2 linked regions of the Sus scrofa genome follow. The protein of the gene in region 1 interacts with the protein of each later gene in a pairwise test. Links are inferred from orthologs where the notes say so. Each region holds a gene or a part of one and is shown on either strand. Other genes may lie near its edges.

Region 1 (3,747 bases):
ACCCTCCCTCCCTGACCCTTCAGCAGGATGTCACTGAAGACTCTGAGCAAGGGCGTGCCAAGAAAAAGGACTTCTGGGTGGCTGGCTGGGGAGAAGTCAGAGGTGGAGGCAGCTGTAGCACCAGGGAATGGAATGAGCCCCTGCATTTCGGTGGGGGTGAGAGGACGTGGGTTCTAGTCCCAAGTCTATGCGGACGTGCTGGGTGACCACAAGCAAGTTCCTCACCCTTCTGGTTCCTCCATCTTCTCCAAAAGCCCCTTGAGACCTCGACTGGGTGAACTGAGGTGTGTGGAGGGTGGGGTGTCACTTGGTTCAGTCTCTATTTTCTACTTTGCCCTTGAGAACCCCACCTAAGGAGGGTCCACACCCATGGTTCCCCGGCGCTTCGGGCCCAGATGGCTCAGCCTCGGGTGTGTCCTTGCCTCAGCTTTAGGTGCCTTTTTCTCACAGACGGAAAACAGGACCTTGGAGCCATGTGCAGCTGTGTGACTTCAGAGAAGGGACCTTGCCTCTTGCCTACTTGCGGGATGGCGGGAGCCACCAAGCCTGTGACTGTACAGCACCGCGCTCTGCAGGCAGGGAGGGCTCCTTGGCTGGTAACTGCCTTTCCTGCTCTTGTTCCCCCTCCGACTCCCTCCCATGTGTGGCTCTCGGCTGGAAGCCTCTGAGTCCGGCAGGGCCTCCTCTCTGGGGCTGAACATGCGCCCAAGGCCGGTGCGTCTCTGCCCAGGCTCGTCACGGGGACTGTGACATGGGCCACCCGGCCTGCTGAGCAGCCCCAACACTCACCCCGCCCTGGGCGGCTGCCCTGCGTCATTCCTCAGGGGACTGCCCAGCACCAGGGCCAGTCCCTCCCCAGGCACCTCTGTACAACCCAACCCACAGGGACTGCAACTACATTCCTCCCCCTTTTCTGTTTGATTGATTTTGGGGGATAGTTAAATACATTAAATTTTTTCAAAATTTAAAAGGCACCCCAAAGTATGTTATGAAAAAAAGCCCCTCCCACCACAGCATTCAGCCCCTTACTTCTTCCCGGAGACAACCCATCTAAATTCCTCCTAAAAACAATTAATCTTTTTTTTTTCTTTTTTCTTTTTGTCTTTTTGCCTTTTTCTCGGGCCGCACCTGAGGCATAGGGAGGTTCCCAGGCTAGGGATCGAATCAGAGCTGTAGCTGCCCGCCTACACCACAGCCACAGCAACTCGGGATCCAAGCTGCGTTTGCGACCCACACCACAGCTCATGGCAACGCTGGATCCTTAACCCACTGAGCAAGGCCAGGGATCGAACCTGAAACCTCATGGTTCCTAGTCGGATTTGTTAACCACTGAGCCACGACGGGAACTCCTAAAAACAATTAACCTTAATTTGGCGGCCCCTCCTTACAAAAATCATGAACGTTCAAAGTAAAGATTAACAAAACCAAACCCCACCACCCTGAAACAGACACAAAAGTACAAACTAACAACCCCCACCCCACCCCACCATCTGGATTTCCAGCCTTTTCAGTTTTGTCCTCCCAGACAGTTTGCAGTATCTATTCACTTTTGGAAAAATGAAAACAAAAGACAAGCTGATTATCACAATATTGACTTTTCCATATCTTGCCGGAACACTTCCTCCTGGTTCCTTCCTTATCAACAACGCTGATAGCTTTATGACCTTCCACAGAGGCTGCCTTATTTAACCAGACCCTGGCAATGGACATTTGGGGATTTCTAGATTTCCCTGTTATAAGAAACACAGTGATGGGCCCCCGAGACCTCACTGGCTACTTGTTTTATTTTCTTGTGACAAATTCCTAGAAAAGGAAATGGTAGGTCACAAGGTACGGCCACTTTTCAAGACCCATCAATCTGTCCTGATGTTCAGCAGGACTACGTGTCTGAGCCAAGTTCGGTTACCTCGAGCCAGGAAGTCTTGGTTCACACCCCTCTCAAGAGGAGCTGTGTGAGCTTCCATCCCCACCTCCACATCCAGACTAAGGCCACAGCCCTCCTCTGGACCTGGTGACCTAAGGCAGGTTGCCCCAGCCACCACGCCGCACCTGGGCCCATCCCAGTCCTGGATGAGTCAGCTGACCGGGGAGCAGGAACCCAGCTGGAACAAGGGCCACCGCCTTCCAGGGAGAGGAACAGACTCCGTTGGCAGTGGTTGGAGGAGGACAAGCAGCAGCACCTGGGCTGCAGGTAAGAGCCGGGTGCGGGGCCCCTAGAGCTCCGGAAGGGATCGGCGTGACCTGCTCTCTCCTGGCTTCTTCCCTCCTGGTCCCAACCCTTTGGGGACTTTCAGGCCTTTTCCTCTCAGGGTGCTTCTCTCTGGCAGTGAAACATGAACTGGGGTTTCCTCTTCTGACCCCAGCCCCGGGCCAGGTGTGACGGTTGGGTGATCTTCACCCAGACATGGCTAGGACTCTCCAGGCTCCTTCAGTCTGCCCGGGACTGCGCTCGCGGCTGGGACCCACACTTTGCTCCTTGAAATGGGCCCTTGGCAGGGCAAAGAGCACTTTCCACAAGGAGCCGAGTGCAGGCCTCAGTTTCTGTTACTTCTCTGCCTGAAGCTGTTTCCATCCACAAGCTCCCTGCCACGGCCAGGAAAACCTGCTGGGGAACTGGGCCGGCGGCCTGACCCGAGAGCTGGTTTCCTCTGTGGAGACTCCCACGCAGTCGGGGGAACTGAATGAGGTAATGGATATAAGGGCCCCGTACGTGCCCTCCACACAGTGAGCCTCAGAAAATGGTGCTTAAGATGGGGCTGCTGTGTGCCGGGCAGGCCCTGCGCTGGCCCAGACTCCCACCAGCTCTCCCCGCATCACTTCTCAGCTGGGCTCCCTGCCCACTGGGCCCCTCTAATCCATCCTCCAAATGAAAGTTAGACGTCACTCTGCTGCTCAACATTCTCCAGTGCCTCCCATTTCGCTGGAGTAAATGCCAAGCCCTCAGCATGACCCACAGGCCCTGCTGGATCTAGCCCCTCTCACCACCCCTGCAGTCGCCTGTCCTATGCTTCCCCTCTCAACAACCGACTTTGGTCTCCCTGCTCAGATATTTCCTGAACACAACAGGCACTCCCACCTCAGGGCCACTGCCGTGGCTGTGCCCTCAGCCTCAACGCTTCTCCCTCCCCATTGAAACTTTCACTCAAAAGGCATCTTCCACCCCCATCTCCCCCACCCAGCAGGGAGGCTCTTCGGGACCTCCGGGCTCTGTCTACCTCCCCCACCCGCCCCCGCCCTGCTTCATCTTTCTCCCCATCACGTCCTACCACCTAACACTGCACAGGCACTTACTTATTCAGCTAGGACGTGACACTCAAGGGCAGATTTTTCTTTTGTTCCCTGCCTAATTACTGGTACCCAGAACAGTACTGGGACTTAGGCACTCAGTAAATGTACTGCATGAACAACAGCTAATGACTACTGCGTACCCTTTATGTGCCAGTGCTTCCCATATATGTCTTATCTCTTTTAAGAAGCTTTTCATCTCTACGATAACACTGCGATGCAAGTATTGTTAAGCATATTACAGATAAACGACATGCCAAAAGGACATGTCCATGCTTGCTCTGCTAAATCAGAGGCAGCAGTCTGAACCCATCCTGCTTGCCTCTGAGGTCCTTGCTCCCACTCTGCCCCTCCTGGACAAGGATTCGGGAGTGTATCTGCATCCACTGAAGAAGTCCACAGCTTTCCTCCAGCAGGCAGTACAGCCTGAGAGGAGGGGAGTACATGCTGGTGGCCTAGCAA
Region 2 (3,747 bases), on another chromosome or scaffold:
CTCTCCACCCCACCCCTTGGCAGGCACTGTGGTGTCTGTGTGACCAGATCGGGCCTGGTGTTGGTGTGCAACTCTGTGTATCTGATTCCATGTGGATGGAAGTTTTCTGGGTGAGTAGATCACCCTGGGAGGGTGTGTCCTTTCTGGAAAGGGGGGGGTTGGATAGGAAAGGGGGTTGGTGTAGGATGGTTGGCCTAGAAGGACACTCAAGTCCTTTCTCCCTTTATGGGGAGCACAGAACGCAGGCCCCCTTTCCCTTCAGCTAGGTTTCTTCACGCGACTTCGCTGTCCTCATTTCTTTTCCACATGGCCAGTCTGGCATTTCTACTCCCTGGTGGGCTTTCCCCTTCATCCTGGGCCTGGAGAGCCAAGGGGTTGTCAGCTTCTCTCTGGTGGCCCCAGTACCAGGTCTGTGCGGCCCTGGCCTGAGTTTCCCACCCAGACAGATGGAGAGGGAGGGAGAGTAAGTGCCAGGGAGGGAGGGAGACTAGCAGAGGCCAAAGTCCAAGGGGCCAGGCCCTCTCCTCCCCTGTCCAGTCCTGTCCTGTCCTTCTGGTCACTGTCCTTCCATGATCCCTTTTCCAGGAGGGTATGTGACCTGGGCCTTGTGCTAAGCAGCTCTCTGGCCTCATTTACCCAACACAGGCACACACACTGACACAGGCTGACACCGATTCACACACACCGCTACCGAGGGGCGCTGAAGCAATCCAGAGACACATGGCCGGGTGTTTGGGCGTGCTGGCACACACTCTTGAGACAGCACTAGAGCACAGTGGAGCCACTCGGCACTCACAAAGCAGCAACATGGCTCCAGAACAGCTACGTCTCCACATGCACACATGTAACTGACACGGGCAGTCCCACACACTCGCTGGATTTCAGACATACAAAGACACCTACTCAGTGAAGTCACATGCCACCGCACAGCCAGCCCACCGGAGGGCCGCTCAGCACACCTTAGCGCTCACGCGGAACCCCTCTCTCTCACTGCCTTAAACCCCACTGGTTCCCCTTTTCACTTCACGGCCTCCAGGAGACCTCTGTGGCCTCCCCAGCAACCGCCCCCACCCAAGGTCGGGCTCCCCGCCCCCAAACCCTGGCCGAATTAATTTCCCCAAGCAACACTCAGCAGGTTCCCTAGGGAAATTAGAGGAAGGCTGGAAGAAAGGCAAGGGCGAAGGGATGGGGCCAGGGAAGGAAGCTGATGAGAGCAAAGGCGGCGCGATGCAATGCCATGCAATGCTGAGCCTCAGCTTTTTCGAAGGCTATTCCCGGCCCCCTTTTGGTTTTTAGGAATTCGAGCTTCTCTAAGTGTGGGAGGGAGACGCGGAGGGCTATGGAGAGAAAAGAAAGCTGAAGGCCAGAGGAGGAAGGAACGGATGTAGATGGAAGGAGAAAACAGAGGCAGTAGCTCTCGGAGATAAGCAAGAGCCGGTCGGGCCTCGAGGGGAGGGGCCCGCGAGGAGCAGCCTCCCGGGAGAGTCCTGTTTACACTGGACGCAGGCTCTCAAACCGCTTAGCAGAGGAAAGGTGAGGTCAGACTGGAAAGGGAGACGGGGACCGGGCGCCGGAGAGGGGCGCGGGGGAGGGGGCATGGCAGATGAGACGCGCAGAGCTCCGACGGACACCGGCTGGGGTGGCGGCGAGCGAGCTAGGGCCGGAGAGGGGTGGGGACGGCACCCGGCCGGAGCGGCCAGGCCGGGAGCCGGGTGCGCGGCGCTCGGGAAGCTAGAGGGCGCTGGCGCTAGGCGCGCGGCGCGGGGTAGGCAGCGCCGGGCTGGGGCGCGGGGGGGAGGGCGCAGCGGGGTCCGCCGGGACCCCGAGCCGGGGCAGTAGTGTGGGGCCGTCTGGGGCGGCCCGGGGCGCACGACCGCGCGGAGCCCCGGGGGCGCGCGGGGGCCAGGCTAACGCCGGCCCCGCCCGTACCTTGGCGCTCAACTCGGCCGCTGCCTCCACGCTCTTCTCCGACATGGTGCCGGGGCCGGGGCCGGGGCTGGCGGGGAGCCGGGGTCCCGGGGCCGAGATGGAGAGGCCCTGGACGGCGGAAGGTGGCCGCGGCCGGAACCTGGCGCGGTGGCGGCGGCGGCGGAGACAGCGGCAGCGGCGGCCGCTGGGCAAGCTGGGGCTCTGGAAGAGGCGGCAGAGGCGCGCGGGGTGGGGCGGGGGTGGGTCTGGAGCGGAGACCCGCAGGGCTGCGGCCGTCCAGAGGGCGGGCGGAAGGGCGGTGCGGGCGGTGGCCGGCGCGCTCCGGCCGCGATCGCTAGGTCCTCGGCTCGCCGCCCCCGCACCCGCAGAGCTGCCGCCGACCAGCCGCTGCCGCCCCCGGGCAGGGAACCCGCTTATAAAGCGGCGCTGCCCGACGGGAGGGGCTTCCCAGGGGTGGGGCAGGCGGGAGCGGGGAGGAGAGGAGAGGGGAGGGGGATGAAAGCGGAGGTTGGAGAGGTGGGGATAGGAGGATGAGAGCAAGGGGAGGGAGTGCGCGAGAGGCGGGAGGGAGGACTAGACCAGGAGGGGGAAATGGAGAGACTGACGGTCGCGGAGAAAGGAGTGGGGCGAGGAGGTGGGGAGGGGTGGGGTTCCTGCGGGGAGGGACCTCTCCTAATCCCGACCTACTGCCTGCGAACGTGGAGCCCGACCCCCAAAAGCCCTGAGATTTTGCCGAGGGATGGGGTGGGGGGAAGCGGATGGAAAGGCCGGGCAGGTATTTGAGAAACCAAAAGCCTAAAGAGGAGGAAGAGGGCGGGAGCCACTTCCACTTCTCCCTGGATTTCCCCTCTCCTGCCTCTCGGTTCGCTGGGTGGCCTTGAGAGGGATTAGAGAGCAGAAAGGGCAGCCCACCCTCCGTCCTGCCCGAGGCTGACATTTGTGTCCCCTGCTGGGTTCCTCCCTTCGCGGCTCTTGCTTGTGATCTGAGGAGGGGCCGAGGCTCTCCAGCCTCCTTTCCACCTTCGACCTTTCTTATTTGCCCGGCTCACCTCACTTTTCTTTGCCTGGTCCTTCTATTTCTCTTCATTCCTCTTTATCCATTTCTATCTCCCATCTCTCTTCTTGTCACCTCTTCTCCACTTCTCACTTGCCCTCTCTGCATGCCACCTCTGATGTCTTCCCTCTCTTTCCAGACAACATAGTTCCTGGCTCACCTGAGTCTGTCACCTGGCCCTATATCCTTAGCTGATTTTCCTCAACCCTTCTTCACTCCTCTCCTTATTTCCCACATTTTCCCTTTCTTGATGTTTCTCCTTCCTCTGCTGCCTTCTTCCCAGCCTTTCTGGAGTGTATCTGTCTCCTTTGCTGGGGGTTCCAGGCCACTCTAACCCACACACCCTCGGCTCCTCACCCACAGTCTCAGTATCTTTGGGTCATTTTGAGAAGCTTGCTGTTTCAGGAGGGAACCGGAGCTAGGGTGTGTGACACAGGTCTGGAAGGTGGATGGGGCGGAAGGCTAGGGTTTGGAAAAAGATATCTTTGGTGCGTGTGCGCTCCTATATTTGTTTATCATCAGTCTTCATCTTTGTATCATTTTCATCTTAATAAAAAAGACATAACTGATGGATCATCACCATTTCGTCTCGGGGTGCCCCTACTGTCTTTTGGTCCCTTGGTGTACACACTTCCCAATTTCTCCTCTGACTCCTCTCTCAGTTTCTCAGTCTCCATCTCCTCAAAAATCTTGGCGCCCCACCCAGGCTTTTCCTTGGCCAACTATGTCCATCTTTCTCGGAGACCTTTCCATCTCTCTGTCTC

The links.
Region 2: the proteins of SDCBP2 (region 1) and PTMS interact in a two-hybrid assay, tested with the Homo sapiens proteins (2 studies listed by BioGRID and IntAct). The two-hybrid records come from large-scale screens. The link is inferred for Sus scrofa from reciprocal best matches to the Homo sapiens genes SDCBP2 and PTMS.

What each region holds. Positions count from the first base shown.
Region 1 is NC_010459.5:33,966,024-33,969,770, forward strand, and holds the start of SDCBP2 (syntenin-2), read left to right. Parts: upstream 1-1,051; 5' UTR 1,052-2,191; intron 2,192-3,747.
Region 2 is NC_010447.5:63,939,346-63,943,092, forward strand, and holds the start of PTMS (parathymosin), read right to left. Parts: upstream 2,768-3,747; 5' UTR 1,975-2,767; coding exon 1,930-1,974; intron 1-1,929.